Linked DNA regions of Oryzias latipes. The protein of the gene in region 1 interacts with the protein of each later gene in a pairwise test. Links are inferred from orthologs where the notes say so. Each region holds a gene or a part of one and is shown in the gene's direction. Other genes may lie near its edges.

Region 1 (4,223 bases):
AGCGGTAAGACCCCAAGACTCTGTTTAAAATTATCACAAAGACCTAAGCATCAAGGTGGCTTAGGCCTACCAAACCTGTGCCAATACTACTGGGCCTCTAATGTTCAAAAAACGATAGATTGGCTCCAAGCTTATGACATCAACTGGTATCGATTTGAAGCCTCCTCCTATAATACAAAAACTCTGACAGCCCTAATTGGATCTAGTCTCCCCTGTGTCATTTCACACTATATTACACACAATCCAGTAGTTACCAATACCTTTAAAATTATGTTTCAATTCAGACAGACGTATGGACTCACTCAAGTGCTTACCACTAGTCCTATACACAAAAATCACCTTTTTCTCCCTGGTCAGACAGACTTCGTATTCATGATTTGGGAAGTGATTAAGGTACAGTATAATCAACTTTAAGGACATGTACCTAAGCGGTATATTTGCAAGCTTCAATGATCTTGCTTCCAAATTTTGTCTGCCTCACTCTCACTTTTTTTAGTACCTTCCAGTGTGTCGCTTCCTTCAGCAGCATGACCCTAACTTCCCTAACATACTGTGTTAGATGAGGTGTTTGAGTTGCCACTCAATTCAAAAAGATTCATTTCCAAAATCAAAGACTGCAAAATTCCTGCTTCCATCTTTGTTGTTTGATTGTCGACTGGTTAATTCAAAACTTCCAAACTTATGTAATACGTTCTTTGTTTGTTGGAGAACTGTTTCCAACATTCTACAAAACTCATTCTATGTCCCAGCATTACACAAAAAAGTTTTTTAAAAACCCAATTTTTCCAAAATACAAAGAAACCCATTTTAAACAATGAATGCAGTATACCCATGCAAGGAACTGCTACATTTACGTTTTGGTTTTCAAGAAAATAACTGTTAATAAATATAAAATCACTTGATCATCTGTTTTTTGAATGTACATATGTTACCAGTTTTTGGGAGTATTGTGTTTGTTGGTGCTCCTCAAAGTTTCCTTTTCCTATTTCTATTCCGTTACAGTTGTGAGTACTTTCTGGTGATAATTTATTTGATTTGGCATTTGATACTTTATTAAATTCTGGGAAATTCTTCATCAATGAGAGCAGATTTTTTTAAAATCAAATCATTATTCAATACATTTCATAAAGAGATCTGTTTACATTTTAAATCCTTGGAATTCAAGAAAAACAGAAATGCAATAAAACTGTCAATTTTCATTGAAGATCACATGTTGTATGACCATACCTAGTGTGAGCTACAATTCTAATGTTATTTATTTATTTTTTCTTTGTATTGTATTCTTTTTTCTTTTTATATCTTTCTATTGTAGTTATGTGAATGTGTACGTGTCATCCTTTGAAGTTCAATAAGAATAAAATAAAATAAAAAGTTGGTGAAATCAACGCTACAGGAATGGGCTTTTAGTTTGAAAGGACGGATGTGACGTACTGTATTTTCGGTGAGGTTCTTTCCGGTTAGCTTACAGACATGAAGGGTCAGTTAAAGAAAGGTGTGGAAGTAATACCAAGCCGGGAAAACTGCGTTTATACCAGCTGTTATTGGTAAAAACCAAGTTTTAACAAATCAGAAAAGCAGCCCACTGTCCTGCAGTCTTTAGTTTTGTGTCAATAAATCATTTATTGTCAAGAAAAACATCAAAATGCTAAGCGGATCCGCTCGGCTAATCGATATTCACAGTTTACATTGTTAAATGTTATACCCATTTTTAAAACTGTTATAGTGAATGAGTTATTTCAATGCCATCTGTCTAATTAATGATTGAATGAATTTTCAGGGAAATATAGTTCATTTTAATCAAGTGAATGAGTGGCTAATGCTGCTTTCCTTTACTTTCTCAGTGAGGAAAATGTTTGGAAGCTCTGTGAGTTTATTCAAGCACAGAAAATGGTTCCACTGGACCAGTTTGCTGTAATTTTCATCTCTAACGACACCAGAACGGTAAGAAGATCTGGAAACATTTTAAACGGCTTAACAAGACAATCGAATAAACAAAATGTTTGCTTTAAAAATAATATTTCAAAAAGTACCTCATACTGAGAATGATGGGCACCGAGCCCTCAAGGGTTCAGGTGGTCTCAAGAAATATTTGAAAGTAAATAACAGGCCTTCTCTGTAAAAAGAAAAATCCTTTTTGCAAAACATCTGGTAGTTTCAAAATACAGCTACAGTGATCCCTCGCTATAACACGGTTTACTTTTCACGGTTTCGCTACTTCACGGATTTGCATCGTGCATTGTGTTCTGCATTCTGATTGGCTAAAAAGTCACTTCACTTCTCTACCTGTGCGTCAATAACATTGCAGTTTAATATGTACACGTACGTAAATCAGCGTGCCAAATTTACAACAGATACGTGCAAATCATCTTGCAATTTCGAGTTTCTCTATAACCCATGAAAAAAAGGAGCGACAACAACAACTGCCTATCACTATGTTCTTCTCCCGAACAAACACAGCTGCACCGCGGGCTTCAAAGGGAGACTGCAGAGCGGAGTCAGGATGCAGCGGCTCAAGAGCAGTGAATTACACCTGAGTCACTATTTGTCTGACCGTACTTTGTATTTTTTTAAAAATCATTTTAAATATCTTCCCGTTTAATCCAAATACTCGGGTCGCGGTGGGCGGGGCTAATCTCCGCGATTTGAAGCCTTCTGTTCACATTGATGATTAAAATTCTTATTTGACAGTACAATACAGAAGATATTTGTTGAAAAACCTTTTCTAAAGTACTTTTATTTGTGAAACAATTCCTTAGCCTGTAAAACGGTTTGTTCTTTCTTTTCAATGTATAATAGAGAATTTAATTGTATAATAATTGTTAAAAAAAAAGGTTTCTACTTCACGGATTTTGCCTATCACGGGTTCTTTTTGGAACGTAACCCCCGCGAAAAACAAGGGTTTACTGTACTCCATTAATTGTGTCCAAATTGGAGGGCTGTGTTCTTCCTGGGCTGCATCTGAAGGCTGCTTACGTAACATGTTGTCCAAATTCAACAAGTCCTTTAAATATGGCCACCGAATACAGCCTTCTTTTTACCCGATTTCAAGGATTGCTCTGGTGTACCCTTCTATGCTGTCCATATCCCAAGATGCATAGCAGTAGAACCCGGATATTTTCTGACAACAATGGCTCCATGCCTGGTTCACTCCTCCTCCCTGTTCGGGACTCACGGTTGCTAGGCAACAGGACATTCACTGATGTAATGGCTGGAATTATCTAAAGGCTAGACTCGTCCAAATTCACAGCCATTAACATCTGACCTACCCGCTCAACAAAGGACCCGAGTAACATCGCCAGGGAAGACTGCGGCCATTGAAGGACGCAGACTTCGAATTTGGGAGCACCCAATATATAACGCTCAAATGTTGTGAAAGCGTCTCACTAAAACGGTCAATCAAACCAAACAAAGAAGTTCATCAAACAAATAGGCAATCCCTAAAACTGGCCACTACACACAGTACATTACAAAAACCAAAGAAATCCCGGACAAGCCCCCAATTTATGTTACACCCCATTTTAGGAAAAAGAAATACTATTTAATAAAAAAACAACCAAATTACTGTATATTTGCAGTATAAAGCACACTTAAAACCCTTAATTTTTTTATTTAAAAAGCAACAGTTTGTCTTAAAATCATGATCACCCTATCTATTAATTAGTTATGCTGCAAACAAGGTTGGGTGTTATTGTGAATACCCTCACGCGGCTAATGTGTGGCGATGTTGGACTGTTTTTTTGGTTACCAAAAAGGTTGTGTGATAGCGTAGTCACGGTAACGTTTGTTTTAGCGCTATCAGTCTGTTTTGTCCACGTGCTGCAAGCAAAGTAACGTGACTGACTGACGGACATTTCTCTGACTCTTTAATCTCACTTAATCTGCCTTGTAGTTCGGTGTGCTCTATATGTGACATATGCTCAAAATAGACCATTCATTGATGTTGTGCTTGATAATCCGGTGAGCCCTGTAGTGTGGAAAATACTGTACAAAGAACAAAGCCTGTATGTATGTTCTGCCCTGGAGATCCTTGCCCAGTCTGGTGCTCTGGACAATTAGGCACAAATGTGCAATCAAAGCTGGCAGAGGAGAAGGAAGACAGAAAACCTCCCACTCCAGCAGAAAATATAAAAGAAAATAGAGAGAGAAAACCCAAATGTACAAAAAAGCCATCACACTGTCATTTATCCATAAATTTTCTAAATCTGCTTAATCTGTTTTGAGGT
Region 2 (4,104 bases), on another chromosome or scaffold:
GACATCCTCCGATATCTCCTTTTATGGATGTCATCCAAAGGAACTCTTAAAGGGATGGATAGCCTGCTCTGGCGCTATAATTGGTGCTTGTCTTTCTAAAACAGGATAATGCCACTCAGAAAAGCCAATTCCCTGATCAGCTCATCACTCCAACTCAACCCCCCCACTACCACCACACCATATGTGTCTTTAGCTGCAAACACTTCCTGTGTGCATCTACAAAAAATAAAGCACCATAAAATGTGACTTCCCTTCCCTGCTGGAGAGCAGGCTCCCAAATATCCATATTAGGAGCACAGGGAGCAAATCTCAGAGTCACTAGTACTATTGGTCCTGTGCCCTAATTGAGTTAAAACGCCACCCTGACTAAGCCACTCTTTGTCTTGTCTGCTTACAACATAAGCTTCTAAAGACAGATTTGCATCGCAAAGCTGAATACTACATTCCACCCACCATTTCAGGTTAAAATGCCAACAGGTGCTGCGTAATTCTGTGCACTCAAGTGAGTCATAGCAGGTTGCATATTTTTCATTCAAAGGCGAACACATCACGAAACTGATGAGTGCAAAAGAGGGATTAACAGATTCTCCGTTTTGCTGTAAACCAAAATCAACTTGGACACGCGTATCTTTGTCACTCTGATATATGTGCTTACGTGTAAGTGAGACCGGTACGCAGGAGCACATATTGTGCAGGGTGTTAACACTACTGTCAGTGACCCTGAAACTGTAACCAGTCCAAGGCTGCCAAATACACGTGTCTGTGATCGGTGGGAAAAATTGGATGTTCAAAGATTGACACAATTCAGTTATATAAAAAAAAGTTCCTAAATTGTTACGTTTTTTTTTTGAAGATCTGGTTAAGAAAAAAACAAGTGGACAAGCAAAATTATAGGATTACCTTAGCCAAATTACAGGGTAGATGATAAGGAGTAAACATATGATTGCATGTTTTTAATTTAACTGGACTTATCCCTAATGTGAGAACAACACAACAGAAAAACATGTTTTTAAGCTGATTCTCAAGAACCATGTTAGCAGTTGTAATTGCTGGGTTTTAAGTCACTCATTCAAAAACAATAATAAAAAAAATAAGAACAAAAACAAACCACTTAAAAAAAAACACAGTGACCAATGACCCCTGACACTTAACCCTCAAAATATAGGGGTTACTTTTCACGGTCCTTGTCCCCCGCGTGCCAGGGTGCACGGCAGCTATCTGCATGAGCCACACCCAGTGGATGCGGCGGAGCCAATCAGAGGACGCCGTGCGGAAAGTTCTCCTTTTATGGAGAGGGGCTGCAGCACGAGCTCACATATAAGCCCGCACTTCACAGGCCTTCATTGCAGTGTAGCTCAAACACTAAACTCCGCAGGAGTGTTGCCTTCCGGCGAGAGTCTTCACAAGTCGTGAACCCCCATTCATACAGGTAAGAGGCAACTTTTGACTTTTTGTTTTCTTGCTTATAAAATTTACGCCCTATTCGATACGTTAAAGACCTAAATGTTTAAAGTCGGCGACTTCTGTCTGGCGATAGCAAATTAAAATGTTATGTCGCTGTGTCAATGAATGACAAACTGCTGTCATGTCTGCTTCTCCGTCGTAAATATCCCTGTGTTTGATGCTATTATCATTCCGCTCGTATATTTAACTAGCCGCGTTGACAAGTTTGACCTTCTCCTGCATGCCAGCATCCACAAGGTTTGCGGTTCTTCTGACGTCTCGGGTTTCGGCCCGACGATGAAGGACTTTACATTTGCTTCATTCTAAAGTATTATTTTATACATTAAGCCTTTATTTTATTTTTAATCAGCAAGTCCGTTGAGCTTTAAAAAAACGTTGTGTTTTTCTGTAGTTTTTCTGCCTTCGCTGCACTTGCTGGGATGACTTTGCTTATTTGACGGGTTTAAAGCTGTAGTTCTGGAAAACAATCAAACATTTATGACAGTGATGCGATGTGCTGAGGGCAAAAAAGATTGGTAAGGATGTTTGAAGGGGGTGGCCGTCTGTCGGTGTCATCCGAACCTGTTTGGGACACGGGGTGGTTTCTGGACCGGTCTGCTGCTGCCGGTGAGGCTGCTCTCACTTTTGCCTTATATGGCCATGGTCAGACGGGCTAGAAACCCCTTTTGTTTCAAAGCCCTGCATTTTTAAACTCGAAACGACACCACAGCGACACCCAGCGTCCAGACCCTGAAACAGGACTGTCCAGTGGTAGATGCTGAGTTTCTGATTTTTCTTTCTGCAGAAAATGGAAGAAGAAATTGCTGCCCTCGTTATTGACAATGGATCTGGTATGTGCAAAGCTGGGTTTGCTGGGGATGACGCTCCTCGTGCCGTCTTCCCCTCCATCGTTGGCCGCCCCCGGCATCAGGTACAGCCTTTTTTTTTTACCTGCAGCATAACCCAAAGCCAGAGAGTTTTTGTTTGGGGCTAACTTTAAACTTTGCCTTCCAAGGGTGTGATGGTTGGTATGGGCCAGAAAGACAGCTATGTTGGTGATGAAGCACAGAGCAAAAGAGGAATCCTTACCCTCAAATACCCCATTGAGCATGGTATTGTAACCAACTGGGACGACATGGAGAAGATCTGGCATCACACCTTCTACAATGAGCTCAGAGTTGCCCCTGAGGAGCATCCAGTCCTGCTGACTGAGGCCCCCCTAAACCCAAAGGCTAACAGAGAAAAGATGACGCAGGTGAGGATCCTGAAACTGTTTTCTGAATTGCGTTGCCAGCTCATTTGCAGCTTCCATTCAGAAGCTGTTTCAATCTTTTCATTTTTCATGCTCCATATCATTTCCTCCTGCTCCTCCTTATACTCCAGGACTCTTCTCTCCTGAGCTGATCTCTTTACCTCTGCGGATGTTTTAAGGTTTTGATCTTCCTGCACTGCATCAGGAATGACTCTTTGCAGCATGGGCACAAACTTTTCTGATCTATCAACTGATGTGCTTGTCAACAAATTTAAACAATCACTTTATATTGCTGTGTTCTGCATAACTGTGTGGCTGTGCTCAAGTAATCTTAACTTGTATTGAATTCAGCTGGTGTGGTGGTTATAGTGATCTTAACAATAACTGGTGTGATTCACTGACCTAAGGTCTCCACTGCTCTTCTTCTAGATCATGTTTGAGACCTTCAACACTCCTGCCATGTACGTGGCCATCCAGGCTGTGCTCTCCCTGTACGCCTCTGGACGCACCACCGGAATCGTCATGGATTCTGGTGACGGTGTGACCCACACAGTACCCATCTATGAAGGCTACGCTCTGCCCCATGCCATTCTGAGGCTGGACCTGGCTGGGAGAGACCTCACAGACTACCTCATGAAAATCCTGACTGAGAGGGGTTACAGCTTCACTACCACAGGTGGGCCCTGTTTTACATTTGAGCAATAGGATGTGGAGAGTTGAAAACTAAATATAAACTGCTTTCTTCTGTCTGTTTTACAGCTGAGCGTGAGATTGTGCGTGACATTAAGGAGAAGTTGTGTTATGTTGCACTGGACTTTGAGCAGGAGATGGGAACTGCTGCATCTTCATCCTCACTAGAGAAGAGCTACGAACTGCCAGACGGCCAGGTCATCACTATTGGAAACGAGCGGTTCCGTTGTCCAGAGGCGCTCTTCCAGCCTTCTTTCCTTGGTAAACCTTACATCCTCATGCAATATGGGTTGAATATTGGCACATCTGATGTTGAAAAGTGACGGCTGTATTTTAACTCTCATGCACAGGTATGGAGTCTTGTGGTATCCATGAAACTACCTTTAACAGCATCATGAAGTGTGATGTTGATATCCGTAAGGACTTGTATGCCAACACTGTGCTGTCTGGCGGTACCACCATGTACCCTGGCATTGCTGACCGCATGCAGAAAGAGATCACTGCCTTGGCCCCCACTACAATGAAGATTAAGGTATGGAGACTTGAGTTTGCGCACAAAGTCTAAAGTGCTCCATCTAAAGCACTTCAGTGTTTTTTTTCACTACTGTACTTGCTAACTCCTCATTTATGCTTTTAGATTATCGCACCTCCAGAGAGGAAGTACTCTGTATGGATTGGCGGCTCCATCCTGGCTTCCCTGTCAACCTTCCAACAGATGT
Region 3 (4,110 bases), on another chromosome or scaffold:
TAGATCCTCCATGGATTCTACTTTTCTCTATTTTAGTTCATGCACTTCCTTGTAGATTCAAAGTGCTGATGGAAATGTTTCCCTCCTCTCATCTTCATCACCAGCAGAACAGCTTCAGCCCACAGATCAAGACCCTTGAGCTCAGGTCATCTCTGCTCGTGTCAGCTTCAGACACGCACGCACACGCACGCACCTGCAGCCACATGACCAGCGGGAGCTCCCGGAACCCAGCGTCGGCGTGATAGAGCCACCAGAACATGTGGGCCCCGTCCCTCACCTCCACGTAGTTCCACGCCTCTTTGGGTGGCGGGGGCGCGCACAGCCCTGCGGACAGACAGGTGAGAAGCAAATACCCTGACGAGCATGCGCACACCGACAGAAACCGAGGTTACTTTCGTTTGACAGTCATCGGATTTACTGAAGCGAGGACAAGTCCAGAGATGAAAGGATCTGGAGGCGGGAGAAGAAGTGATGAAGAAGTTCTGCTCGACCCACGGAACTCACCATCACGGACGAGCACAGCGGACGCGCAGAGCCAGAAAAGCACCACGGAGCCGCACATTTTTGCTGCAAACTGGCGGAGAGGGACTTCACCGATGACGAGTCACGTGACCAAAAGTCACATGACCACGCCCAGGAGTCAGCTGATCGGCTGACTCCGATTTTTTGAGTTTTTTAAAAACAAGAAAACAGACAGAAAAAAAGAAGATCCTAAGTTTCTGAAACATCAAAATTTTAAAAGAATTTTTCTCATTGTGAGATTTTTTTTTTCATTCCAAAATTCCCCGAAGGTCACTGAGGTCACGGACCATGGTTTCCACGGCAACCATCTGCAGTCAGTTATCCATCACCTAGTGCTGTAAAGTGTCTCTGTCTGTCTACATTGTGCTAACAGTAAGGTTTGGTGGTGGGAGGATCATGGTGTGGGTTTATGTATAGTTTCAGAAGCTAGGCTTAAGGCTTGGCTCCTTACTTTCAGTGAAAATAACTCTTTGTGCTTCATCAATCCAAAACCCCTTGGACAATTCCACTATCACAAGAGTCTGAACAAAGGAGGGACCAAATGTTTTCAAACAGCATTTTAGAAATCTGCGCCTGATTTGCCACGATTGAATCCTGGTGATCCTCATGATGCCCTCCATCATGAGAGAAAGGCTAAAAGAACATGCTAAAAAAACAACAACACGATTTTATCCTGAGTGGGTCTTTGACCTGGATGAAGAATTATTGAGATCCAGGCCTCCTTGTCCAAACTCTGAACAGAACAGTTAAAAATCCTTGTAAATCTCCCTAAAGAGCCCCGTGAATTATTATGGGATGCTGTTTTAATTTTAAACGAGTGAAAAGGCAGATGGGATACACTCCGGACCGGCAGAGGGCAGTGTCGTGACAAAAGCAGCGCTTTATCCTCTGCGCATGCGCGGGGCGGCGTGTTGTCGCGGAGGGTGTCATGGCGGCGCTCGGAGACAGCTTGATCCGCCTGCGGCTGCTCTTTGACTACCCCCCTCCGGCCGTGGCGGGGTGCCGCATGTGCTGGCTGCTCGTGGACCGGAACGCGTGTCGCGTGGTGGCGGACCTGGAGGGTCTGATCCGGCAGAAGTTCGAGTTCAGCCGCGGGAGCGTCCTCAGCCTGTTCGTGGAGGACTGCTACCTTCCGCACACGGAGAGCATCTTCGTCGTGCGCGACAACGACAGCGTCAGGTGCGCGCGCATCCCACACACAGCGGGGTCCTGATGTGCCGGTGTCGTTTCCGAAACGGTTCGAGCCTGCAGGCTGACACCACAGATATCCGGACCTGAAGGACTTAAGGCCCAATCCGATCATTTTAGTCTGTTTTCAAAGTGTTCCCAGTGATCTTAATGTTTTTAGACAAATTATTTCAAAAAGTTCATCAGAAATTCACCTCTGACTTGTGGGCGGGACTGTGGCGCAGAAGTAACCCTCCACTGATGTCCCATCATCCCCTAGTTTACACTCTCTCCCACTAGCTTACAGCCCCAACCCAACGTTAGCGGTGCAACCAAAACAGCAGCAACATCAGATCCATCCGTCCGTCCAGTTCTGACCCAGATTCCAGCTCAGACCAGGAAAACAAAGACCTTCATGGATCTGTCGGTCTGCAGGTGGAGGATCAGAACCATTGACTGAATATGAGAACTGGACTGAGTGGCCCCGCCCCCTGGCATTCCAAACAGGAAGTGGCTCTCAGAAACTAAAATCCCACAGACTTGAGAAATAAACAGCTGTTAGTCATTCATTCTATTGGTCAGTAAAAACATTCTGGATCTGATACTTTTATTTAAACATGTTTTTGTTAATCCTCTTTTATTCATGATATATTTTTCTGTAAATCAAGTTCTAAACTGACCAATCAGATGCTTCAACAAAGGTAGGCGGAGCCTCCTTGCCACCCACATCAAATGGTCAAAACATTTGATTGACACGTTTTCCAGAGCCCGCTCTCAAGTGGAAGGGGTGTGGACCTCTAACAAGCTCACTCCTGATTGGTGATACTGGTTGCCATAGAAACATTGACTCGGACTGACCAATCACTGCTTCTTGATGTTGTCTGGCTCCAACATGGCGGTGTTCGTTTAGCAACAACAAGAATGGGGACTGCACTGACTTCATTTGGTTGGAGCTGGAAGTCGTTTTCAATGGATGACGTCACACTGGCTCGGTCCAATTCTAAAGAATCAGTCAATGGTTCTAATGGGCCTTGGTTGATCAAGATGCAGTTTGGGGAAATGTACACACAGACACCACGGAGGCCATTTTTCTATTACTGCCTGAGGCCTGTGCGGTCTGAGATGAAGCTCGAGCCTTTCTTCTTCCTCTGACTATGAACGCTCTCTTCAGCGTGGGTTTGGGGGGGGGGGTTTACATTGTAGAACGGGTCGGTTCTGGATGCGTTTCATGCAGAAATGTTTCTTGTTCTGCAGGGTGAATGTGGACTGTGTGGCTGCGCTGAACGGCTGCAGCAGCTGCGCAGACGCAGAAGGAGTCAAAAGCAAAAAGAGACGGAGAGACGGGGGGGAGGAGGGGCAGCTGGCTGAAAACAAGAAGAAGAAGAAGAAGAAGAAGAAGAAGAAACGAGAGGAGGGGGAGGCCGGAAGGAGCAAGCAGGAGACGGTTGACAGGAGGGAGGCGTCTCCGGGGAGGAGCAGCAAGAAGAAAAGGAAAAAGGAGGGGGAGAAAAGTAACACTGTTGCTCCTACACCTGCTGCCCCCCCCAGAAAAAACCCGCCCAGTGCCCCCCCATCAGCTGGAAGCAACAAGAAGAAGGCCCCAGCCAAAACGCAGAGTTCCTCCACAGAGTCCAGCAGCGAGGAAAGCAACTGCCCCAAAAGAACTGCCGCAAGGACGGCGCCCCCCACCCCTGCTGCTTCCAAAACGCCCCCAAACACCAAGCCCCCCCAGAAGAACACACGGCCTCCCTCTTCATCGTCCTCAGAAACAGACTCTGATGGAAGTACCCCCACCCCCAAATGCCCAGAAGCTCCGTCAGCGCTGAAACAGACAGATGTGGTCCAGGCAGCCCCCCCTCAGGACAAAGGGGCGGAGCCTGCTGATGCTGGGAGTGAGGAAGAGATCCAGCTGGTCATCCGACGGCCGCAGCAGCCTAACAGACACGCGGACGGCCTCTGGTCACGGCGCGGCGGCGGCAGGGGGGCGCGTGGAGGTGCTGGGGGGGCAGCAGGCCGGGGCCTCAGCGGTCAGAACAGTGACAAAGAGCCCCCCCTCCAGGCGCGTTCCCCGACCAACACGCCACCGCTCCTCCAGGTCAGTCCCCGCCCCTTTTCTCTTACGCTGCAGACGGAGGAAACGTCTGAATCTGGTGCTTGTGTGTCTGCAGAATGGAGCCGGGGGCCCCCCCACACGGGACTACAGCTCCATGCCCCTGCTGGCCGCTCCTGCACAGCCGGGGCAAAGGATCGCTTTCAAGGTGAGGTCCGTCCTCCAACGTCACAAACATCTGACTGCTGAGGGGCTCCGCTTGGATTTAGAAACATCCCAAACAAAAGTTTAAACCTCAAACGTCCAGAAATCTGACAACTGATGACAGAATTTACCAGAGTGGAGAACAGCAGCTCCAGCTTCAGCTGCTC
Region 4 (4,243 bases), on another chromosome or scaffold:
ATGAGAGAGCTAAGATCCTGTGGGACTCCCAGATCCAAACTGACAAGATGGTCATGGAGAACCAACCAGACACTGTAGAGGTGGACAAAGAAAAGAGGAAAGTCTGGAAGAACTGGAGAAAGCTTTAAGGTTAATTTGACGGTGGTGCCTGTGGTTATCCGATCACTCAGGACAGTAACCCCTAAGGTGGAGGAGTGGCTGTAATGTTAGAAATGACCAGAAGAGTGGCTAAAGCAGATCCCTGGAGAAACATCTCAGTCCAGAAAGGTTCAGTCCTAGGAAAGATACTGCACAGAACCCTCAAGCTCCCAGGCCTCTAGTAGAGGACCCAAGCTTGGGTGAGAAACTTGCGGGGGTGTGAAAAGAGTGTTTAATTTATACCATGTAATTCCCCATTAACCCACATCAAATAAGGGGAAGTTGGATGCTTGCCTTGTCACCTAAACAGCAAGTCTCACTCAGCATGGGGGTTTCTTACCAAACTGCACAGAAACTTCGTACTTTCCCTTTTTCACTGCTTCTTGAAGTGAATTCATCAAATTGTGTTTGGTGGCTTCAACTTTTTTTCTAGTGGTTTACCTGTACTTTTCTGTATTTTTTTTAACCAAAGAAATGTCACTGAAGATTTGTTTGAACAAATGGATGTTTATTAAAACCCTATTTATGACTTCTGCCTAATACTATTCCCCTATTCCACATTGGTTATGTTTTGGAAGCTGTTTAAAATGTTTTATTTTTTATTTCATGTGACCAAATGTAAATATATCTAAAGTTGTATAGTTTGGATGCTGCGTGTCTGACAGGGCAGCCTCACAGCCGGCTGAACTTAAAATGACTCAGAACACACTGAAATTTGAACCACTGTCCCACCAACTTTTCAGAAGTTAAAGTGTGATCTTAAAGAAAACTGCATCCTTCATAATAAAAGCATAGACTAAAACCCACTTCAAAATATGTGGCATTTTGTATTCTTGCTCCAAACGTTGAAAAACAGAAAAAAAGCTAAATTTGAATAAATTAATCATATAAATGTCGCATTTGCTTTGAGACATAAGGGACACATTTATAAATGTTTTTTACTCATTTAGTTTCTTTTGTCGACAGTGTATTTTACTGATTTTAAACAGCATATTTGTAAGGGAAACCCCCCCTGGGAAGAAAAAAAAAACCTAGAGATTTGCTTAAAAGTCGCTTTTCGGGACTGCGTGGTTTTTTTTCTCTCTCTTTTTTTTTTCAAATCTACGTTTCAACACATACTGCATAAGTTACAAAAACATATCTTTCTTTAGCAATAACATCTTCGGGCTTGAGCTGTTAAGCATGTTGAAATTTTTCTGTTTAAGTGACAATGTTTTATATTTTTTTCCATAACGAAACTGAAACAGAACCTCTGGAATCTTCTCATTGAACCCCCACTTTCTTTGCGTAATCGACGATGCGCATGCGCATTGTCAAAGACTACGCTGTTCTTACTTCCTGACTTTGGGAGGTCACGCCAAAGGAATTCTTCTACGCCGATTTCCTTCACAGGGCGATCTCATCAAGGACCTTTTCAAACCACGAACCGAAGACCTCCCTACACGAGCAAAGAAATGCAAGTATTTTATGTTTTTAGAGCCGCTGGTAAAGTAATCGCGCGCTTAGCGAACAAGGCTAACTAGCTAGCTAGTCAAATGTTACATGAAATGTAAACAAACTATAGTTACAGCAAAGGTACGCACTTTTAAATAATAATTTGACTCCTTATGTAAGATTCCTTTATCCACTGTAAAACACCAGCAGTTGTCTTTTTTCTTTTATATTAATTTTTAATCCGTGATGTGTAGCCCTTTAAATGATGTGGGTGGAATCTTTGTGAACAGAGCAAAGTATGCAGTTGATAGTTCGTAGAAACACAACAATGACGGCATACGCATTTGTCGCTCACTGGGCGGTTAGAGATGTTAATTTCAGTTTTGCTGTCGCAAAGACAGCAAAACTGTCTTTGCGACAGCATATTTACTGTAGTAAATATGGCCGTTAGCTTTTGATTTGATCACTTGATCACTGAGGCAGAAAAACGTGACAGTGCAAAGATCACATGCAGTCCTCCACCACCAGCAGATAAAATCCCATGTCACAGCTAAATGTGCACCAAATAGTTCCACGTACAGCGTGTTTGTCAGAAGGAGTAATGCAGCATATGACTGTCCTAATGTGTGGCAACAATATCACACAAGAGTCTCAACCTCCTGTAGAAAACAGTGATTGTTTTTGACTGTGCTGCTAGTACATTTCTGGATAATCTAACAAACATATGTGGCAGATCGCTGAAACCTATTAACAGTGTTCCAACATTGTGTTTTGATGAATCAATGATCTGATTAGCTCTTTAAGAATGGTGAACAGTACATCTGCTACACCCTTTGGCATATAAGTTAACTACAGGAGCCGCCCTCGTGCCCATCCCTTGTGCCTTCACTAAAACATTCATTTTTTCAACTGATATCCATCTGGTTTCCTGAGTTACCGGCTTAAAAGAACTTTAAAGAGCCTAGCTATGTGGACAGATTATGACTATGAATGGAATGGACATTCCATACCATTCTATCTACACACACTCTCAAAAAATGTCCAACTGAAAGATATTTGACTTCTACTTTCTGTTTTTGACAAATAATTTCCTCTGGGAGGTGACTAGGCTTGAATAAAAGTCATCACACCTTTAGTATGTGTCATGAATAAGAATTGCATGAAACACAGGCGTGCTGATGCAATGTTTATTAGCACGATGTGATGTCAAAGGTGGACATAAAGATAGGGAAGCTGGTTAACTTCCAGAATACTTTATATTTTTGACAAATCTGAATGACTGAGGAGGACTGAAGCTAGCAGGAGAACATGGCAACAGAGAGCCCTCGGCAACATGGAGAGAAGCGGCGTTGCTCCATGCCAACAGTCCAGCCAACAACTCAGAGGCGAATTTCTAATGATCTACTGCTGCTCTGCAGAAAAATCTGGGCACTTTTTTGGACAAAAATGGCATAGTGGTAATTAGAAGACCCCTGGGAACACTTTAAAAATGGCTCAAAAGATGATCGGAGTAGGTCTTTAAGTAAAAAAAAAGAGATTCCCCCATGATCTATTATTCAAGGTTCTACACTTCTAACTCAAACCTTTTTCATGTTTCTTTTCTTTTAGATTTTGTGTTTACCGCCACAGCTACTTGTTTCAATGATGTGTGACCCCAGCCAAGATGGGAATTGGGAATCGGACTCCACAATTGATTACTCTAAGATAAACAATCGTCTGGAATCTTTCTACAACTCCAGCTGGAGCAAGAAGGTGTCACCGCTGCAACTGGCTGAAGCTGGCTTCCTCTTCACTGGAGTCTCTGACCGCGTACGCTGCTTCAGTTGCCAGAAAACGGTAGAAAACTGGTCCCAGGAAGATCAACCAGTGGACAGACACATACAGGTAATTGTTTATGTTGAAAAAAAAAATAGTTTAGAAATGTTGGGCAATTCTTTTTCAACTTTTTAAATAATAAAGTTCAACATTTTCCTTCCATGCAGGTTTCCCCATCGTGCACGTTTCTCCGCTGCACACACTTCAACCGTTTTAAGTCAAATCCCCATATGCCCCTCAGCAATGGGGGCCTTCATGATGGAACTGAAGGATATATAGATTACCAGTTGAGAACAAGAGCCATTGTTGATGAGACTCCATATCCACGGAACCGGAATATGAAAAGCGAAGAAGCCCGCCTGGAAACTTTCTCTTCGTGGCCGCGTTCTGCTCCAGTCAGACCTCGAGATTTGGCTCAGGCAGGTTTGTTCTACTTAGGAAAGGAGGATAAAGTGGAGTGTTTCAGTTGTGGAGGCAAGCTAAGTGGCTGGAAACCTGGGGACACCCCCTGGAACGAGCATGAAAAACATTTTTCCCACTGCTTCTACATCCTTGGTCATGACGTGGGAAATGTGCCTCTGGAAAGAGATGGAGGAGAAAATGAAGAGACTGGCAGCAGAAACCAACATCGCACACCTGTCAATTTGGAAAATCTTGACGAGCGACTCGGCACTTTTGCACGCGTCCAGCACCCGATTGACCACGAGCTGCTTGCTAAAGCTGGCTTCTACAGCAAAGGTAAAGCATGTTTGTTCAAACATCCCCTTTACAAATGAGATGTACCGGTAATATTTTAATTTTTCTAAATCTAAATGTTTGTTCATAATATTTTTTTATTATTATTCTAGGAGAAGGA
Region 5 (4,167 bases), on another chromosome or scaffold:
AGCTGCCCGCATCATCACCAGAACCCCCTCCTTCCATCACATCACTCCCGTTCTCCAGCAGTTGCACTGGCTTCCAGTAGCCTTTAGGATTAAGTTCAAGCTCCTTCTCTACACTTTCAAAGCCCTCCATAGCCTGGCTCCCTCCTATCTCTCTAATCTCCTCCATGTTAACACTCCCTCTCGCTCTCTTCGATCTTCTTCCTCCCTTCAGCTCTCTGTCCCTCCGGCCCGTATGGTCACCATGGGGAGCCGTGCCTTCAGTCGCTCTGCTCCCCAACTCTGGAACTCTCTCCCCCCAGACCTACGTAACACTGACTCCTTTCTGATCTTCCAATCCAGACTCAAAACCTTTCTGTTCAAGCTTGCATTTCCGGAACACAGTTTCTCATTTTCTGTCAGCTGATTTTATTAATGAATCCAATTTATTTATTGTTTTTAACTTGTGATTTTATTGTGTTTTACCTCTAACTTTGTACAGTGACCTTGGGTGTTTTGAAAGGCGCTTTTAAATAAAATGTATTATTATTATTATTATTAATAAGGCATGTACCTTAAAAATGAAATAAATCACACACAGAAAAATAATTAATATTGAAAGCTACTATATCTTAAGATGAGATTTGAATTGAAAGTTAATATATTGCACAGATATTTTACACAGCTCAGGTCTGGCAATAGAAAATGGGCCTACATGGTCACCCCTTCATAATGTGACCCGGGCACATCAACCAGATGCAAACTGTAGCAATATCTGTTAAACAGGCTTTACAAGACCATTAAGAGCTTAATAATCAAAAATATTTTGTTATAAACCGAAATGGTCAGTAATCCAGTAAAATCAAATACAAGGCTGTATAAAATATAAAAACCAAAACAAAGGTTTACAAATAAAAGTTAATCACTAAATAGCCATTTTTGCCAACTTTTAAAAAATAGAACAAAGCGAAAAATCTATTAACACTCTTGACAATCAGTACATTCAATGTGTAATTGTATTGTAACACAGAGAAAACTGAACAAAGGGGCAAATATATATAAATTCACAGATAAAAATGGGCAAGAAAGGTTTTTCGTTAGTACATTTAAATTTATGAACATGATGTTTAGCTGAAATGAAATTAAGTAAATTTATTCTGTCATCTTTATTGTCTTGTAATAAAAAAGACAGCGTGTTTTAACCTGAAAGAAATAATGGGAAGAACACCTTTCTGCATCAAATTTAAAATAAATACCAGACCAACATGTTACATTTGTGTGTTTTTTTTCAGACTTTACCAACAAAATTTCGAGCAGAAAAATAAAGGAAAAGTAAGAAAGCGCAGTTTACTTTCAGAACAGAAGGAGGCGCTGTTTTCCTTTTCTGCCTTCTTGTGAGAACACTATAAGAGAAGAAGAGTGTTTCCTCGTGAGAGTAAAGTCGATCAGTGTGAGGATTGCAGAAAGTTGTCATCATGCCGATGTTTGTAGTGAACACCAACGTGGCTAAAAGCGACGTACCGGCGGCCCTGCTGTCTGAGGCTACGGAGGAACTGGCCAAGGCGATGGGGAAGCCCGCCCAGGTAATCTATGGACACCCCCGCGGCAGAGAAGAGATCGCTGCCTGCTACTGCACCCGACCCACCCAGTCAGTTTCACACTCATGATCTGGACTGTGCGTGTGTATCAGTCAGTGACGTTTTAGAATTATTTTGGAGAACTTTGAATAATCTAAACGTTGTCTTCACCTTTCTGAGAGTGATGAGGATGGTAAGGTTGAGTGTTCGGGTGGCCTGCTTCCAGTGGCGGTTCTACCCTGAATTACTCCCCGGGCGAGACCCTCCTCTGGCGCCCCCCCAATAGAGTCACTTTGTCCATTTATTGTAACTGAAGCTAAGAAATTGATATAAAAAAAAAGATGTTTATCAGAATTCTGCACTGCATTATAACAGTTATCGGAACATAAAAATTAAAAGACTATCAGCATGGCAAAAATACAGTTAGGAAATATTTAATCAAACACAAATAAATAATCTAAAATAAATATTATAAACTACAAATCACACTAATAACACACTAGAATAAATGTAACTGCAGCACTAAGAACAGACAACACTAACTAAAACCTAACCTTTGTGGCCTTCCTTTATGCAAGCTTGTCAATAACGTCATCATATGAAATCTGCTCCCCCCCCCCTGCATGATTGATATTAACAACGGCAGGTTAGTGAGTCGCTCCTGAGACATTGGTGATCTCAGGTATGACTTGATCAACTGGAGTTTTGAAAAGCTAACTGCAGCTGCAGCAGCAGCCGCATGCTACCATCACAGCTTATTTAACATTATGAACTAATATACAACAGTAAAACACAACAAAAACTTTGTGATAAGCAGAGCAGACAGACACACGAATCATAACTAATGTTACAAGTTAAGACAGAGCAAACATTTAAGAAGAAAATCTTAAAAATGACGTTATTTACAATATTTGGGCCTACTTCAGTTTTGGTCATGATAGACCAAACAAGAGATTTTTCCTCTGCAACGTTGTTGTTGTTGGAGGGCAGATAGCATTCGAATTTAGAAAACGTGCATCTAGCTATGCGATAATACCCTTTTCTTTGTCTCTTTTCTCCTCTTCTTCTTTTCTTTTCTTTCTAAATTGGGCACCAGCTTTGACCTTTTTTCTTCATATTTCTGATGTTTTTGCATTTAGCATAAATGTCCTCACAAAGGCATCAAGTCTGTCGACTAAACCAACTGTCACCTTAGTGAAAACATTGTTTTGTTTTCCTATTTTTTATTTGGGCATTTCACACAAAAATAACCAAAAAAACATGATTTTTTTATACCTTTTTTATACCCGAAGCGCCCCCCCCCCCTCGTCACACATTTACAGCGGGAGCGCGTGCAGCTGCACTCAGGGGCTCCAATTCGCTACATGGCGGCGCAGTTTTTATTTTTTCATCAAGCACTGAGCCCTGGCCTGTGACCGTCGCCCCCCTGGAAGAAGATCCAGCCAGGTTTGCGCATGCGTTTTGCGCTCCGTGCTCGCCTCTCAACCTGCACCCTTCACCCCGCGCCCCCTCCCTTCTCCTTCTTCACCCCGCGCCCCCTCCCTTCTCCTTCTCACACACATTTGCGTCTACTTCTCAAAGACAGGAGGGAGCGCAGGGCGGGGCGGGGGCGCCACCAGGTTTCAGGCTGTTACAAACTCTGTGATATAAAAAAACCAATAGTGCTGCACAAAGTATTTTACAAGGGCTGAGCCGCTGGCGCCGCCCCTCCGTCATTTTTCCGCCCTGGGCGATCGCCCGTATGGCCCGTGCCTAAAACCGCTACTGCCTGCTTCTCCCGCGTTCACGCGTGTTGTTGTTGTGCCTTCAGTACATTGCAGTGCTGATCAACCCCGACCAGATGATGATGTTCGGAGGGAAGGGAGACCCCTGCGCGCTCTGCTCCCTCCACAGCATCGGCAAGATCAGCGGGGCTCACAACAAGCAATACTCCAAACTGCTGTGTGGCCTGCTCAACAAACACCTGGGCATCTGTCAAGACAGGTGAGGTGTGAGTCCAAGCGGAAGTTAATAAACACTAAGATGGGGCCCCTATTGACTTGTCTCCGTTTGGTCTTTTTTTTTTGTTTTCAGGATCTATGTTAACTTTGTTGACATGGATGCAGCCAATGTGGGCTGGAACAACACTACATTTGGCTAAGATGGAAGATACTGTCAGATACTTAAGTTCATTCCAGAAATTTCCTTTGTTTAGGGGAGAAGTTAATTATGCTTACGTGATGAAGCACTTTAGGAACAACTTTGCAATTTAATTACATCAATTTTTGCATTGCACTGATTTCACTGTCTTCTCTAAATGCAATAAAGCAAACACTGTTACAGAATAATAAAGTGTTGTTTTCTTTTTTTAAGACATCATTCTGGTTTCTACTGTACATCGTTTTGGTGAAAGCATAACAAAAAAGATGTTTATATAAGGAACATTTCTTTGCAGAATTAATATAATTTTTGGTTAAATGTAACAGCTTTTGTTGTACCTCAATCCACTTTAATTTGATAAACAAAGTACCACAATCCAGCACGAAATGGTGCAAAAATATATACATCTGGGAAATTGTTCTAAACTTGTAAACCTTTTTGTTTTTTGCCTGTCATTTGTCACAGGCTATAAGAA
Region 6 (4,039 bases), on another chromosome or scaffold:
CCTCCAGCACTGTATCCTCTGCTCTCCATTGCCTGAGACATTCACTGAGCACACTGTCAGTTGGGGCCTTGAGCTTGATGTACTCATGCATCTTGGATGTTTCATCCTGGATATTGGCTTCTACACTCACTAGTCTTCGGCCTCCTCGGCTAGCATACAGTCACAGGGTGCTGGATTTGGGATGGAACCCTCCAAGCATGGTGAGGAGCTTTCGTGATTTAACATCCGTGGTCTGTATCTCTTCCTTTGGCCATCTTATTATTCCTGCAGGTAATAATATACAGGAACATGTGTGCAGAATATGAACTGGAAACCCCAAGGTCAAAATGGGAAACACCTCCGAAGGTGGTAGAGAATGAGAGGGCAAAGATCCTGTGGGACTTCCAGGTCCAGACTGATAGGATGGTAACGGCGAACCAACCAGACATTGTAGTGGTGGATAAAGAACAGAGGAAAGCCGTTGGGGTGGATGTGGCAGTACCAAGCGATGGGAACATCAGGAAGAAGGAACCTGAGAAACTGGAGAAATACCAGGGACTCAGAGAAGAACTGGAGAAAGCATGGAAAGTGAAGGTGACAGTGGTGCCTGTAGTAATTGGAGCACTCGGGGCAGTAACCCCCAAGCTGGAGGAGTAGCTACAACAGATACCTGGAAAGACCTCAGACCTCTCAGTCCAGAAAAGCACAGTGCTAGGAACAGCTAAGATACTGCAGGACCCTCAAGCTCCCAGGCCTCTGGCAGAGGACCCGAGCTTGGAGGATAAACCACCCGCGGAGGGTGAGAAGGGCGTTTTTTTTTATATAGATGTCAACCTTCACCAATATTTAGATTTTACTGTCAAAGATGTTATTTGTCTAATCCATTAAAAAACAAAGTATTTGGAGTTTGAAGAAGTCTGTCTAAACACTGTATGAAAAATGAGCTGAGGTTTGGTAAATGTGTTCATTTTTAATTCAAATCTATTTTAATAAAAACTAAATCTTTAAAAAAATAAAGTATATGACATGTATTCAAGAAAAGGATTTTACTTATCAATAACCAAATAAAAAACTGATGCAAACTGATAATAGAAGACGACAATAGTCAAGCAACAACAACGATAATAATAATAATAATAATAATAATAATAATAATAATAATAATAATAATAATAATAATAATAATAATTTTAAGAAAATTTATTTTGGTTAAACCGGAAACACATGCCCTGATTTGTGACGACATTCTGCATAGCAACAGAGGAAGATTTACGTGTCCTCGACTCGAGGCGCTCCTCAAAGAGACGCTTGTAGCCTCAGTTAACCCTGGTTGTTCGCACTGCTGACGCTACAGTTTTGACTGTTTACTTTCCTCTACAACAGGACACCTGCCGATTTATAAAATGTCCAATAGTGAGGTAGGTGCAATTGAAAACGTTATATCTTCCTTTTTTATTTTACATTTCCCGTATGTTCATTGCTGTTTAACCAGCAGCTCAGCTGTTTGCTAACATAACAAACGATCAACCTGGTTCTCCTTTGCCGAAATCCGTTTCTGTGGCTAAGAATTAACCGCCTAAAGTAACATGAACGGGTTTAGTGTGCAGTCATTGTGTTAATTTGTCGCGTTTGTCTTGAAGGGAAACAAACTTTGGGGAGGCCGTTTCGTTGGAGACACGGACCCAATCATGGAGAAGTTCAACGCTTCCATCGGTTACGATCAGAGGATGTGGGACGCAGATATCAGAGGAAGCAAAGCTTATGTCAAAGCGCTGGAAAAAGCGCAGCTGGTCAGCAGTGAGGAAAAGGAGCAGATCTTACGTGGGATGGATCAGGTGAAGTAGTCTGTTGTTGTTGCTGCTGGCTCCATCACTGAATCAACCGGTCCTGAGGATTCATTCATTCATTCATTCAGTTGTGGTTGTAGTGCAGCGTTATTCTCTCTCTTTGAGCCAGACAGGGCACTTTTTCCTTGATAAAAATCACAAGGCACATTACCAATTAAATATGTAAAAATGAAATAAAATCAAAGTTATGTTTTGTCAAAGCGTCTTGAATAAGAATCAAATAAACAGAAATAAATCAGTCTTTTTTTATATCCACCTACTCGGTGTGAAAACAGGACCTATTTGGATGACATTCTGGCAATTTCTTTAGTTTACTAACAATTAACCGATTTGTCATTTTATCCAGCCAGATTGATCTATCTTAATTAACTTATTAATCAAATCGACTTTACGTTAAAAATAATTTCGAAATGAAATAAACAGATTTTTAATCGATCTTGGAGAGTAACATTTGGACTGAGGCGTGGTAGGTTTATTTTTACTTTAAGGTAAAATGACTGTCATTACACTGGTCAACACATCAAAAAATGATCAAGCTATCATTCCAGTCCAATGTGTGAAAACAGTGAGACATGTGAGACATGTGACCATACAGTGTGGTATCATGACTTTATCATGTGGAAAAACAACAGTGACTTTGTGAAACTAAAATGTGAATTGATTAATGTGTTTATCTGTCTGTTAGTTCACATATTTAATTTAGACTTGATTATCTTGTAAGAAATTCACTAAATCTGGAAATCTTCACCTGCACTGTTCAGTACCCAGTTATTTCTCAGAGTCCCACTGGTTGAATCTTTGGCTAAAGACGTCCCTAGATTGATTTTAGGTCAGTGAATTGGATTGTTCAAAATGAACCGATATTAACTATGAATCGTATCGTCAATTGCACATTATGATATGAATTAAATAGTTGTTAAAATGAATTGTTATTTCCCTGTGTTTGTCACATTTATTACTCAAATGAGGTGCATTAGTGCATCGCTGCATACTCTGGTGGTTAGGCAATGACAGCTGTCAAAATGCCGTGGTGTAGCATTCCTGCATTCTGCTGAGTGTCGTTATGACAGCAGCACCTTCAGATTCAACCAGGGCAGGTTTCAACATGTCCTCTCCAGCCTACTGTTCTGTTTTACAAGTCAGCAGTTCAGTACACTGTTTCCCTTCAACTTTTAAACACAAACATTTGTTTTTTCCAGGCTTTGTGTTAAAACCATCTCTCACGGCTCACAGGTTGAAAAACACTGGTTTAGTGCATCACTGCATACTCTCAGGTGGTTAGGAGATGACCGCAGTAAAAAATGCCCTGTTGTAGCATTCCTGCATTCTGCTGGGTGTGTTGTGGACAATACTGTCATCATGTGACAGCTGCAGCTTCAGTTTTATTCAGGGCAGGTTTGAACATGTCATCTCCATCCTACTGTTCTGTTTGGACAAGTGAACAGTTCCATAGACTGTTTCCCTTCAAACCCAAACATTTGTTTTTTGATTACAGGCTTTGTGTTAAAGTCCACTTAAAGTGACCATCTTTGATGTTTCCCCCCCCCCCTGCAGATTTCAGAGGAGTGGTCTAAAGGTAACTTTGTCATTAGACCTGGAGATGAAGACATTCACACTGCCAATGAACGCCGGTTGAAGGTGATGTGCAGCTGTCCATTGCATACATCCTGTTCACACACATCTGCCATTGAGCTTTTACACAGCCTGCTGTGAGTTACTCCACTAATGTCTAAGCGAAAGTCTGGATGTTTGTTAAACTAAAAACCCATGTTTTCAATGTAAACGTTACTTTATGACGTTTGCTTTATGAAATGTGTACAATATTAATTATGCTGTTGCCCTTTTTTTTCAGGAGCTCATTGGTGCCCCTGCAGGAAAACTTCACACAGGCAGAAGCAGAAATGATCAGGTTTTATTTTAGTTTATTCATGTTTTTATTGTACCTTTTAGGTTTGTTTAGCATATAAATTCATAGAAAAGCTTTAGAGTTGCACTTTGTGTTCTGGTGGACCAGGTGGTGACTGATATGAGACTCTGGATGCGAGACGCCATCACCACCCTGACAGAAAATTCTCTCCAGCTCATCTCGACCATGGTGGAGCGGGCATCCGTGTAACTAAGACCGACTCGCAAATGGAAACTCATCTTCTGTATATTATTACTGAAACTGTTGGTGTTAACCTGCATTTCCTGGTTCCATCACAGGGAAATCG
Region 7 (4,099 bases), on another chromosome or scaffold:
CAGAAGCTAAGGTAAACATTTTGTTCAATCAGTTACTTTTATATTAGCTGGTGAATGCAGCCATTATTACCAATGATGCAACCACTGACTAAATAGATGGATGTGTTGATAAACACTGCTATACATAACATTATAGTATTTGATATTGGCTGTAGATTAAATTACATACCCCTAAATGAAACATCTAAAAACTCTGTAATGTTGTGATGTGTGAGGCGTTACTTACAGGGGCTGACATCTCTGTAACGGTTCCGATTCTTGTTTTCGGGTAACTTGGCGATCTTACAGGGAAGTTCACACGATTGTTGCCGAATCTCCTGTTAAGATAAAAAAACAATCACATTTGTTTAACATTGTCAAAATGTTAATGGTGCCATTTTTGTCCTTTATAACTGCATAAGTGTGTGAATACTCCGAAAAAACGATCAATAATATGTCATATAACAGTTATCAATCCTTCTCAAATAATAATGTGAATAATTTTTTTCTGAGAAATGCTTTTTTAAACGCTGAAAGTGTCATAAACTTAACAGCTATGGTGCAAAAATAATTTAAAGCTTTAAAATGACATGTGTTGAATTGCCTCATGGGACGTGCTGCCGGTTTAGGACCCGGGCAGACACATCCATCAACAAAAAAAAGGTCCGAGCACCAAGCGGAAAAAAAAGAAAGAAAAAAAAACATGGACCGGCCACACAGGGAACAAAGCCGGCGGTTAGTTAAAAAAAATATACGGAGAAACACGGGGACTGAACTGTACGACTCTGCTCATGTATCGTGGCGAAAGTGAGAAAAATGTTGGCTCAAAAAGTGACAGCTTCACCCATTGCTGCTTTCCACCTTGACATGTCGAGAGTTCCTACCTGATAAATGGCGTTCCAACTCCCGTTTTCATCGATTTCTAAAAATTCGGCTTCCATTGCTTACGATCCAGCGGACAGTCTTTTTGTTCTCCTCAATGATGCGACAGCGACAACACAGCGAAGATTAAACGAATGAAACTTGAACAGTTTCCTGTATTAGCTGCCAAGTGTTTGGCCGTTGCGATTCTTAGTACGGCTGCATAGATTATACCGCGGCTGAGCGGAAACACGCTGCTAGCTCCTCCTACCGTGTAGCTGACGTCCTTGGTGGCTAAAAAAGAGTAAAGTGAGTTTTTAGGCTCCAGTAAAACAACTGCTTTTGGCTGTTTTGGCGATGTAACTCGATTTTTAACTTTTAATGCAACTCTTTCCCCTTTTTAAGCGGTCATTTTACCACCCCCACAGGAGTAACACAGACAGGCGAGTGCGCGCCGAAGGCATCTTGTTTCTGGAAAGAAGAGCGTCCGGCTTGACGGGGAGCGCGCACGTACATTTACGTAGCGGTCTGTTTACGTCCAATCTGAGGGGGTCGAAGCTTCAGTTTGAGCAACGAAAGTGTTGCTTGTAAACACCGCTTAGCGCCATAGCATGGGGCTTTTTTAACATTTCGTTCATGAAAGTCCTTCCAGAAGCCGCATGTAGGCTGACTTAAATCATGCCGTGATGGAGTAATTATTTATTTTTCGGACAGCACGAGCTGGGACGACAGACTTTGATGCTAAGGCTAGTACAGTAGCTAGGAAAGCAACTTAGGTGTAGGGGTTGAATCAGCCTTACCGCAGTGACAGGTATTACGCACAATTTTTCGAAGTTCTTACTGTGTGTCGCTTTTATGTGCTGTCTCACTCTGGCCGTCAGTGTACTTCATGTGGCTCTCTTTTCCAAAGTTTCTGTCTGTCTATGTTAGCCATCAGCTGTCGCTGGCTACTGCTGCTAGCTAGCCCATGTGTAGCTATAGTTATTGCCTCCCAGTGGTGGAAAAAGTGTTCAGGTCCTTTAACGGTAAGTTGTTTTAGCAATACTAAAGTCACAGTGTTAATAGGGATCATATTTAACATTAATATCGTGGTTATAAACCGGGGAAGGTCTTTTGTTATCGGGTATTGTGGGAAAAACTGCAGTGAATAAAAATGTTTTTTGTTCTTGATTTTTATATGACACTGCAGTTGTATACTAATATAAATTAGCTAGTCTGCCGCGGCCGACTAAATATAGACAATTGCTTGCCTCAAAAATGAATGAAAGTGCTTGATAGTGTTTACTGTACGTTTGTTCTCCTTGGTTCTCTGTTTTTTTGTCTTCAGCCTCATTCATCATACTCCTAAGCCCTTTTTTTAATCCTTCTATCGTGGTTTATAAGAAAATGCTAACCATTAAAAGATGGGTTTGTAGTTTCACTCATTGGATTTAGTTATTTAAGTCTTATGTTTAAACTTTTAACATGTCAAGTAACTTACCAAATCCTAGTGTCAGAGTGGTTTATTACTAAATTTAGATCAAAGCACCTATTATCTACTGCTGCAAGTAGCTGTTCATACAGTCTTTAAAGTATATGATTGGATTCACGTGTATGTATGCATTAAAAAAGGGATTTTACACCAATGTTGTCATGTTGATACTCAATGATAAAAGAGGAAAAAGGATTATGGTGCACTAAAGTCAGATGTCAAATTTGACATAATGCATTTTTGATCCAAGTAAACCTGCTGCAGCAGGAGGATCTTTTTTTTTTAACTTAGGGTGTACTTTATTTTGAAAGAGACTTGAATGTGATGCTGTTAAAAGTAATAGAAGTAAAATTGTTACTGAAAAATTATTTTTTATAAATAAACAGCTTAATGACCACAAAAACCTAAGTAAGTGTTTCTAAACAATGAAGTGGGACTTTGCGGCTCTCTGTGGTTTTTGGTTGGTAAGAACTGGACTAAATGACTTATTTAGCATTAAGGTTTGCAGACTCCTGGTCTGAACAGTGATCATCTTTGTCCCTTTAAGCCACTAACATTTTATATTTCGAATGTTTGTAACGTTTATATTTAAAATAATAAAACGGCCAATTTGTCAAAGACACGTTGATTAAAGCAGTTTTGTTTGTGTCAGTTGTTTTTGTATGTCTTTTAAGGCTGCAGGAGCACATTGTTAAAAGAGAATGTTCAATGAGATGCCGTATTCACAGAGATTTTCTGTATTTATTCCTTTAGACTCTTGTGGAAGTTTGAGGTCCTTGAGGGATTCTCAAAGCAACATGGCTCCTAAAGACATCATGACCAATTCCCACGCCAAATCCATTCTCAATGCCATGAACTCGCTTCGCAAGAGTAACACACTCTGCGACATCACTCTGAGGGTTGAGAATACAGATTTTCCCGCCCATCGGATTGTCTTGGCAGCCTGCAGTGACTATTTCTGTGCCATGTTTACTAGTGAGGTAATAGTCTGTCATCTTCATCAGTCTGATCATCAATCCCTGTTTTTCACCATCTGTGTCAAATGTACTTCTTATGTCATTATACTGATTAAACTGATGTGTTTCAGAGTTTTGAGTAATGTTGCTTAAAAAAAATGTTAAACTAAACAAAAAGAGTTTGATTCAATGTGATAAAGATACTGTAGCATGCTCCTGCCACTTGAGGGCAGTCTCAGAAATATGAGAAACATTTTTCTGAATATAGATAAACTACAATAAAACTTTTCAAAGTAGTATATTACTTTCTAAAGTGACTTTTTTTTCTTAGTTTTTGCCCTTTTAGCCCCACATCTGTTATGTGTTCCATAAAGTACAGGATTACAGCTTAAAGATAAAAAAAATCATCCAGTTAAGCCTTTGTTTTGGTCCTCCAGCTTGCAGAAAAGGGGAAGTCTTTTGTTGACATTCAAGGACTGACTGCATCTACCATGGAGATCTTGTTGGACTTCGTCTACACAGAAACGGTGCTTGTCACGGTGGAAAATGTTCAAGAATTACTCCCTGCAGCCTGTTTGCTTCAGCTGAAAGGTAATTTTAATGCCTGTTCTAATGGCTAAATATAAAGATTCTCCAGAGAACAGGCTTTATAGTGACATATTTATCGTCTGTCTAATGCAACAGACATGAAATAAAATAGCTGAGGCTGGCTCTACTTGCTAGGAGCTGTTACTGATAAAATACAAGAAAAAGAGATGGAGGACACACAGAAAGTTAATAAATGTTGTTAAAAACATTATTGGGGTTAGAGGTATAAGACACATTCACTTTT

Evidence for each region.
Region 2: the proteins of wdyhv1 (region 1) and actin, cytoplasmic 2 interact in binary tests that used the Homo sapiens proteins (3 or more experiments, as listed by UniProt). The two-hybrid records come from large-scale screens. The link is inferred for Oryzias latipes from reciprocal best matches to the Homo sapiens genes NTAQ1 and ACTG1.
Region 3: the proteins of wdyhv1 (region 1) and coil interact in binary tests that used the Homo sapiens proteins (3 or more experiments, as listed by UniProt). The link is inferred for Oryzias latipes from reciprocal best matches to the Homo sapiens genes NTAQ1 and COIL.
Region 4: the proteins of wdyhv1 (region 1) and E3 ubiquitin-protein ligase XIAP interact in binary tests that used the Homo sapiens proteins (3 or more experiments, as listed by UniProt). The two-hybrid records come from large-scale screens. The link is inferred for Oryzias latipes from reciprocal best matches to the Homo sapiens genes NTAQ1 and XIAP.
Region 5: the proteins of wdyhv1 (region 1) and mif interact in binary tests that used the Homo sapiens proteins (3 or more experiments, as listed by UniProt). The two-hybrid records come from large-scale screens. The link is inferred for Oryzias latipes from reciprocal best matches to the Homo sapiens genes NTAQ1 and MIF.
Region 6: the proteins of wdyhv1 (region 1) and asl interact in binary tests that used the Homo sapiens proteins (3 or more experiments, as listed by UniProt). The two-hybrid records come from large-scale screens. The link is inferred for Oryzias latipes from reciprocal best matches to the Homo sapiens genes NTAQ1 and ASL.
Region 7: the proteins of wdyhv1 (region 1) and klhl12 interact in binary tests that used the Homo sapiens proteins (3 or more experiments, as listed by UniProt). The two-hybrid records come from large-scale screens. The link is inferred for Oryzias latipes from reciprocal best matches to the Homo sapiens genes NTAQ1 and KLHL12.

The regions. Positions count from the first base shown.
Region 1 is NC_019869.2:4,812,114-4,816,336, reverse strand, and holds the start of wdyhv1 (protein N-terminal glutamine amidohydrolase), read left to right. Parts: upstream 1-1,423; 5' UTR 1,424-1,470; coding exon 1,471-1,544; intron 1,545-1,841; coding exon 1,842-1,941; intron 1,942-4,223. UniProt on the Homo sapiens protein: Mediates the side-chain deamidation of N-terminal glutamine residues to glutamate, an important step in N-end rule pathway of protein degradation.
Region 2 is NC_019859.2:22,455,868-22,459,971, reverse strand, and holds the start of actin, cytoplasmic 2, read left to right. Parts: upstream 1-1,304; 5' UTR 1,305-1,429; intron 1,430-2,248; 5' UTR 2,249-2,251; coding exon 2,252-2,374; intron 2,375-2,458; coding exon 2,459-2,698; intron 2,699-3,124; coding exon 3,125-3,371; intron 3,372-3,454; coding exon 3,455-3,646; intron 3,647-3,735; coding exon 3,736-3,917; intron 3,918-4,022; coding exon 4,023-4,104. UniProt on the Homo sapiens protein: Actins are highly conserved proteins that are involved in various types of cell motility and are ubiquitously expressed in all eukaryotic cells.
Region 3 is NC_019866.2:24,978,630-24,982,739, forward strand, and holds the start of coil (coilin), read left to right. Parts: upstream 1-1,310; 5' UTR 1,311-1,450; coding exon 1,451-1,701; intron 1,702-2,943; coding exon 2,944-3,784; intron 3,785-3,857; coding exon 3,858-3,947; intron 3,948-4,110. Other genes in the region: scpep1 (retinoid-inducible serine carboxypeptidase), read right to left, coding at 194-324, 505-562. UniProt on the Homo sapiens protein: Component of nuclear coiled bodies, also known as Cajal bodies or CBs, which are involved in the modification and assembly of nucleoplasmic snRNPs.
Region 4 is NC_019868.2:22,022,659-22,026,901, forward strand, and holds the start of E3 ubiquitin-protein ligase XIAP, read left to right. Parts: upstream 1-1,443; 5' UTR 1,444-1,594; intron 1,595-3,180; 5' UTR 3,181-3,213; coding exon 3,214-3,456; intron 3,457-3,554; coding exon 3,555-4,125; intron 4,126-4,235; coding exon 4,236-4,243.
Region 5 is NC_019868.2:14,250,741-14,254,907, forward strand, and holds mif (macrophage migration inhibitory factor), read left to right. Parts: upstream 1-1,367; 5' UTR 1,368-1,451; coding exon 1,452-1,559; intron 1,560-3,363; coding exon 3,364-3,536; intron 3,537-3,626; coding exon 3,627-3,693; 3' UTR 3,694-3,884; downstream 3,885-4,167.
Region 6 is NC_019872.2:8,458,415-8,462,453, forward strand, and holds the start of asl (argininosuccinate lyase), read left to right. Parts: upstream 1-1,239; 5' UTR 1,240-1,382; coding exon 1,383-1,397; intron 1,398-1,619; coding exon 1,620-1,814; intron 1,815-3,380; coding exon 3,381-3,464; intron 3,465-3,678; coding exon 3,679-3,735; intron 3,736-3,840; coding exon 3,841-3,938; intron 3,939-4,031; coding exon 4,032-4,039.
Region 7 is NC_019865.2:21,840,052-21,844,150, reverse strand, and holds the start of klhl12 (kelch-like protein 12), read left to right. Parts: upstream 1-1,299; 5' UTR 1,300-1,651; intron 1,652-1,750; 5' UTR 1,751-1,807; coding exon 1,808-1,865; intron 1,866-3,064; coding exon 3,065-3,291; intron 3,292-3,704; coding exon 3,705-3,858; intron 3,859-4,099. Other genes in the region: ptpn1 (tyrosine-protein phosphatase non-receptor type 1), read right to left, coding at 227-317, 864-920. UniProt on the Homo sapiens protein: Substrate-specific adapter of a BCR (BTB-CUL3-RBX1) E3 ubiquitin ligase complex that acts as a negative regulator of Wnt signaling pathway and ER-Golgi transport.